2 linked regions of the Drosophila melanogaster genome follow. Changing the gene in region 2 together with the main gene of any one other region gives a genetic interaction. Each region holds a gene or a part of one and is shown on either strand. Other genes may lie near its edges. The genes, in order: Diedel and key.

What was found.
Region 1: of key (region 2) and Diedel, changing one suppresses a phenotype caused by changing the other (phenotypic suppression), as found in Drosophila melanogaster (one study listed by BioGRID).

The regions. Positions count from the first base shown.
Region 1 is NT_033777.3:29,491,977-29,494,982, reverse strand, and holds Diedel (diedel), read right to left. Parts: upstream 1,132-3,006; 5' UTR 1,105-1,131; coding exon 757-1,104; 3' UTR 716-756; downstream 1-715. Other genes in the region: CG2310 (uncharacterized protein), read left to right, coding at 2,262-2,587, 2,745-2,812, 2,874-3,006.
Region 2 is NT_033778.4:24,784,879-24,789,219, reverse strand, and holds key (kenny), read left to right. Parts: upstream 1-1,808; 5' UTR 1,809-1,929; intron 1,930-2,089; 5' UTR 2,090-2,178; coding exon 2,179-2,451; intron 2,452-2,515; coding exon 2,516-2,618; intron 2,619-2,676; coding exon 2,677-2,981; intron 2,982-3,124; coding exon 3,125-3,484; intron 3,485-3,536; coding exon 3,537-3,665; 3' UTR 3,666-3,706; downstream 3,707-4,341. Other genes in the region: Reg-5 (rhythmically expressed gene 5), read left to right, coding at 52-241, 370-932; CG3589 (uncharacterized protein), read right to left, coding at 3,820-3,908, 3,960-4,341.

The sequences.
Region 1 (3,006 bases), on a different chromosome or scaffold from region 2:
AAAGTGCAGTTTCGTAACTTTAGCACTTTCGTTGCAAGTTGAAAAAAAAAACTAGGGAAATTCACTTGGCAAATTCACTTATTCTGTTGCAAATTACTGGCAAATCGGATTGATAAATTCCGGCGAAAATCGACGGATTCTGCGGCTTTACATGGGCGAATGCTCCGCGTTCTCGACGGCTCCACAACTCTGAGAAAACTGAGAAAATCAGGCGTCCGCGGAAAATGGTTTATGCCAAAATTCACTCGGCTAGTTGATCGTACTACATGCGGAGTACATGGCTACATGGGCATCTGGGGATCTGTGGATCTGTGGATATGGAGGGGTTATTCGGGGCGATCTCTGCGAGTGCAGGCGTCATTTGCTTTTCCCATGGCGAGCGGCCAACAGAGGGGCGGTTGCCCAGGGGGCGTGGTCGATCGTTGGGAAACAGATATTACAAATGCTAGAAACTACAAAAAATCACTTCTTATGATTTGAGCACTGGATTTTATTCAAAAATTAGCCCATATCATCTCAGATTTTGATGATAGTTGTTTTTTTTTTAGTATAATAGTTTTAGTTAATAGCGTAATTAATGGAATTCAAGATTAAAAATAAGAATAGTTCCTAGTAATCAGATTGAACTGTTTACATTTGATTAGAAAGTGGGAACCTTATCAATTTCATGCATATATAAAATAAAATACACATAATTAATTAGTAATTTCTGGATGCAATTAAAGCTTCTCTTTATTGTTTATGTGATGCAAGGGGTTAAAATGGCAGCCTGGTGACTTTGATGATCTGGATTCCGTACTGCTGGTTCCTCCTCACAAATTCCTGTGACCAATCGCCGCTCAGACAGCCGCCGTCGCAGTTGCAGCCGAAGATGTTGCACGATCCCTGGCCGCAGTAGGCGCCCAACTGGGCAACACCATCGGCGCAGATCGTCACTTCGCAGCCGTTGGGATAGTTTTCGATTGCACGCACAGCCTCGCAGTCGCCTCTGTCCATCTTGAATTCCACCAGCTCCCGGGAGGTGCAGCATTCCGACCGAGCCACATGGACAAAGGCCAGGGCGCAGATCCCGACGAGAAGCAGGCTGACTACTGGGGATGCCATGATTGGATTTACTGGGAGAACTAATGCTTTTCACCCCGGCAAACAGCGATTTTATACGCTCACAGTGGGTGCAGGGAATTCGCTTAGTTGGCAAATGCGCTCCAAGTTATTAGGAAAATTGATTAGGCCCAGTTCTCGGGAAATTTACTTCTAACATAACTCAAACACATAGTCATGAAATACTGTCTAGTTACTGCGCTTTAGTTTAAATAAAACTTGTAATAATCAAAAATAAAATTTTAAACACAGATCACTTGTAACGGAAATCCCATTTGAATTTTGGTGATCGGCGTTGCCAGACGGCTAAAAGCGTTAGCACTAGCGGCCCGTTCTGATCAGAACGCAGTGGCGAAACGACGGTCGTTCAGTCGTTTCTTCGCCGCTCAACCGTTCGGTCGCTTCTTCGGTCGCCCGCCTATCGATATCGATAAACGTAGGTGTGCCTGCAGTGCGCCTGTGTGCGTGTATGTGTCAGCAGTGCAGTTTTCCTGTTTATCCCTGAATTCTGTGAGAAATGTGATATAGAAACAGCATTAGCGAACAACTAAACGCTTTGCGCAACCGAAATTCAGCTGCTTAAAGGGACATCGAAAGTGGTAGCTGCAAACATTATAGTTTGTTTATATCTGGTACAGTGCGCGTTGCAACCTGTTCTATGTGTGTGTGTTTGGGCAGGTGCGACAGTGTGTGTGTGTGTTAAGGGACGCCCAAAGAGTTGTTGTTGTTGCAAAGTTATCGATTTTAAATTTCAAGAGATGCTCACTATCGTCAAAAAAAGGAGTTTTTTAAACTAATCAGATAAGCTAACAATTGTTAGTAACTTCTTAGAAAAAAGCTTCGTTACAAACTCAAAATTGCTGTTAAATTTGAACAGCTAGTAATAATGTTCTTTCTCCATTTGAGGAAATGTAAAACGAAACCCACAATTGCGTTTAAGCAATCATCTTGAACGAATTGGGCATAATTACAATTAGATGAGCAATTAGAGCGCTCGAAAAGTGGCCAATTAATTAACTTGACTGCCCATTACCATAAGTACTTTAAAGTTGAATTAAGATCAACTTGACCTGGCTGGGGATCAAAGATACCCATATTCTATTCACTATTCACTTGTCCGCTTATTTCAGATACTCCTGCGAGCAGATACCATTCGCACGATGTCGTACTACGCGGAGCGAGCCCTGTCCCTACTCTACCCGCTGGCCATCGTTTCATCGCTGGTCTGCTGCATCACCTCGGCGGTGGCCTGGACACACTGGCAGTACGTGCTCAATGCCTGCCCGGACACCAATTGCGGCTGCGTGCTGCACGGCAAGAGCACGTTCCACAGCTTCGAGGGCGGCAACGTCGCCTACTGCCACTTCGCCACCTACGGCCTGCTGCTGCCGCTGCTCTTCGCCGTCGTCCTGGGCGTCTACCACGGCTACCGCATGTGCATCGGTCGGGGCAAGCCCAAGGCGGGCACGGCCACCATCCGTCAGCGGTAAGAGCGGGCGATCGCGATCGAGTGTCGGCGGGTCAATGGGGTTAATCGGCCAGCCACACTCGTTCGTCTGTCTGGCTATGAGTAATGCCATCATGGGCTCCAACTTGGAGCAGCATCAACTGTTTGCTTACGCCTCTCTGCTCTCTGCTTGCAGCTCCGGTGACATGATCGTGGTGACCACCGAGTCGGAACTCACGCCCGATGGTCTCTCGCCCTACTACTGTGAGTGTCCATCGTCTCCGAACTTAACTATGTACAAATGTGTAATACTTAACTAATTTAGGGCTGCCCGCCACCGTCATCTCGACAATAATGGCCGTCTACCAACTGGTCTACTCGGCCGTGTTCACGGATGGCTTCGAGGTGACTTGCAAGCAGTACAGGGAGTCGCTGCTGAAGGAGATCCAGGGCGTGGG
Region 2 (4,341 bases):
TCTTAAACACAAGACGCCATTAAAATAACCACCAATTTTGTTACTTTGCAGATGTCCCACCTCTACTCAACATTCGCTCAATTGGTAAGCGTGCACTGCAAGTCAACAGCCGCCGTCGGAGGCCTCCCAGTGAACCAGTGCAAGCACAACCTGCTCGGTTACGGGTCCGCCAAGCTGCAGACGCTCTCCGACGTACAGCTGGAGGCACTAGATCCGTATCAGCGCGATGCCAACGAGCTGAGTAAGTGCCTCTATCTGCGTGGGAGAATGATTGATTTCCGCGTCAGAACTTCCGCAGTGCGCAGTCGCGACGTGCTCGACGTGAGCTCTAAATCTCGGTGTCGATCTAATCGCTCTTTTCTTCCGCAGTCTGGTCATCGATTATGGGGGACCATCCGAGCGGAGCCAGCCTGGTGACAACGAGGCAGCCGCTCCAACAGCCCCTGCCAACTCCTCCTGCGTCCTCTCTGATCATCCTAACGCGCCAGCAACTTCCGCACGGAGCATCCCATGCCCACCCCATCCAGAGCTCCGGCTCCGCCACCAATCCAATCTTCGAGAGCGGCGAGCAGAAGCACAAATACGCCATGGACATGGACAAGGCCTACGGCTACGGGCCGCAGTCCAGCAGTGAGCTCCCAATGGCCGCCGCACTGACTTCAGAACCGTCCAAAAGATTCCTCACCGGACCTTTGGTGATCCGGGTGCGACCCGATGGCTCCCCGGTGGAGGAGGACAAGATGATGCCACTGCCGCGGGACGAAGACCTGCCCTACTTTCATCTTGGTCTGGCCGCCGCTCAGCCCAACAGGCACCGCAAGATCGCCACAATCAGCTCCTTAAAGCAGCAGCACTTCGCCTCTATCCTGCAGAGCGACCTCCAGCCACCCCACCAGACGCAGAGGCGTCTGTTCCGCCAGCAACAGGCGTAAGATCGCGGTCAGAGGATCCGCAGGCCTAGACCTAAGTCCTTGTGTGAATGTGATAGAGCAGATGAGGAGATCCTGCATCATAGAGTGCGAGAGTGAACGTGTGAGTCTTCTAGTTGTAGCCGTTTGAGGAGTTTTCTTGAATGCACTTGAGCTTTAATGGAATTTCGTATCGTATTCGTTTAAGTTTTTTTAATTTTATTTATTCGCGTGCATTAGTCGTAAGATCACATAGAGATTCTTGAGTAATAAACCGCATGATGATTATCATTGTTACGAACGTATTAATTCTAAAATGTGTGGATTGGGATGGAAATGAGGATGGGGATGCGGTCTGTGCACATAGCCAGGAACCGGTTGGTTATGGTAATACGAAAGTCGCATCTCGGCCAGCCACCAGTTCCTTGTCGCGAGCTCCACTCACACCTATATTTAACACGCGAAAGCCTTATTAACCCACATCTACAGAGTTGAGCCGAACAATGGAGGTACTGAATCCGGTTTGGCGGGTTCAGAACGCACTGCGCCGTCCATTAGAATTTGCGAGTTTTGGCAATTACATTTCGGTGTAATTTCGCTGGCAACTGGTTTGTCAGGCTCAGGCCTTTAGGACGCGCCCATTAATCTCAGCTGAGCAACAAAGGAAGGTAAATTGGGATGCACGTCACTGGGCTTGAATAAATGATGCCGGGACTTTCCACCGCCCTTGCAGTGCAAACTGCACTTCATATGCACGAGTTTTGGGCGTGTAATCAGTTTTATTGAAATTAGCTGCTTTTAAATTTAGATAGACGAGCTCGCCGATTGTCGATAACATTTCCGATTATGACAATATGACAATCAATGACACAAAAAAAGGCACATTTGAAACGATTGCGGTCACACTGGTCTAAGTTGTTTGGTAAATTAGTTAAAAGTAAATATTACTCCGAAAACAATTTTATTTCCTTAAAGCTTGTCAGCAAAGCAAAACGAGATAAGGAACGCAGTAGTATATAAGGTATATATGCAATAAACATGACAATTGCTTATTCCATTGTGACGCGTCGATGTAATTCCCACGCCTAATGAATCATTGCCCTAAAACTCATTTATTATACATTTATCCTTACTATTGCCGATATCAAATTAATCGATTTGGCTAATACTTTGCCGTCTAGTTTTCGAAAGAGGGGAATTCCCTCACCTGCGTTCACAGTCGTAAAATCTGATTATTAATACCCGCCATTGCTACCGCGACAACGGAGACATGTCGGACGAAGAGTCATTCGTTATCTTGGGTAGCTCGCCGTGCTCCTCGCTCATGCCGGACAGTTCCTTGCGGTCCGACGTATGTGGTAACGCGCAGGAGGCGAAGGAAACCGTTGCCTCTACGAGCACTCAGCCGCCAACAGTGAACTGTATTCCAGTCAGCATCACTGCATCGCAGCAGCAGCACAAATCGCTGGATTCCGGATCTTCCCAGCAACAATCCCTGGCGACCAGCTTCATTATGGGAGAAATTCAATCCGATGTCCTGAAGGTGAGCGTCTGGTTACCGTCTGGTCTGTTTAAATTCTAACAACAGTCTCTAAATCCAACCACAGAACAGTGTTTATTCGCAGTTTCCCAGCCTCTGCTCGTTGCAGGGCTCCGCAGAGGAAGTAGTTAAGCTGCAGAACATGATGACCGAGTACCTCGCGCTAAAGAGTGAGCATTTTTTTCCCGTAAAGTAATATACAGCAATAATATGCCATTATCCGGCCAGGCACACTTGACAAGGTCAACCAAACCATGCTGAACTACCACAACCTGACTCAACAATGGCGCCAGGAAGCCGCCGACCGAGAACACCAGTACAAGGAGCATGTGAAAGAGTGCCAAGCGCAAATCGCGATCCTTCGCGTGGAAAACCAAGAGCTGAAGAGGGACCTAGAGACGAAAATCGAGCAGATTGAAGGGGTTCATACCATCAGGCTAAAGGAGCAGGATGAGCTTCGTAAGAGCGTATCTGAGAAACAGTCCCTGATCGACAACATGCGCGTGGAGATTGACAAACTGAAACAGCTAAATGTATGTCTACCAGTTGCTCCAAGCGATAGGGCAAATACTTGCATACAGACTCGCAATCATTGCTATTCTGCATTGTAAACTGGACAGTATCTCTTTAAAATATTCTCTTCCGGGCTCGCACCCTTTTTCTTCTGTTATTTCAGCACTCGTTTGAGTTCGTACCAGAGTATGCAACCGAATCAAAATCCCAGGAGCTGATAAAGAAAATGCAGCTGGATATTAACGAGCTGAAGGCCAGGGACATCCAGAAGCAGGAGGTGATCAAAGGTCTACAGATCCAAAACGATATCTACCGCAGGGACTTTGAAATGGAGCGGGCAGATCGCGAGAAGAATGCCGGAGAGAAAGATCAGTATCTTATGGACTTGCGATCATTGCAGAGGAGGAACCAGGAGCTTATCGAAGCTCTGGCCGAGTCCCACAAGGCAAGCAAGGCGTGCTCGACCGCTTCTCCGCTGAGTTCAAGCAGAAGCAATTTGCGAGAGGAGCAGAGACCAGTAAGAGTACGCTGATTCCAAAGTCCATAAATGTCAATACTAATTTTTGTATCGGTAGATTCTCGACCCAACAGGCGCCTCATCCCGGACTTCAGACACCACTTTGCGATGTCCGATCTGTTCAAAGTCCTTTAACGCCTTAAGCGTGCTTCAGAGTCACGTTAACGATTGTTTGGATAAAAACTAAGCACAATTTCTTACCATATTAATAAATTTATATATATATATATATTTTCTTTTTTTACAATATCTTGTTTAATCTTAAAAGCCTGGCTAACCGGCCATATTATATAAAAACACTAATTACAGTTTCGTTAACAATGAACAATGCACGAGTCTCCTCAGAGTTTGCTGCGAATGGGGGGCATTTCCAGAGACCACACGCGGTGTACATCTGGACTGGCTACCAGGTTGCTAAGCACATTTAAGTCTGCAAAGAATTAAGATAAGCTAGAAACCATCGATTCGACATTCTGCTCACCGTTGGTGCGTGCAAACTGCTGCAACGTGTTGCGGATATCACAAATTGGAATGGCTGTATTTATGTTTGGGTAGACGACGTCGTCTAATTTAATGTTGGACACACAAACGCCTAGGATGCATCCATTCTGGTCGAACATCGGTCCTCCACTTTGGCCCGCCTGCACGCTGCCATCGGACATAATGGCCCCGGTGTCGCACTTGATGACCCTCCCTTGAAAAATCGAAGGGTTGAAGTCGTGCCTGAAGCTGAAGTTAACGTAGTAGGGAAACCCGGCGTTGTACACCATTTGCCCGACGGTGGCCGGACTCCTGGCCAGTCGCACGCAGCATTGCTCCGGCACATCCTGCGGAGCTGTGAGTAGAGCCAAGTCGAAGGGCTT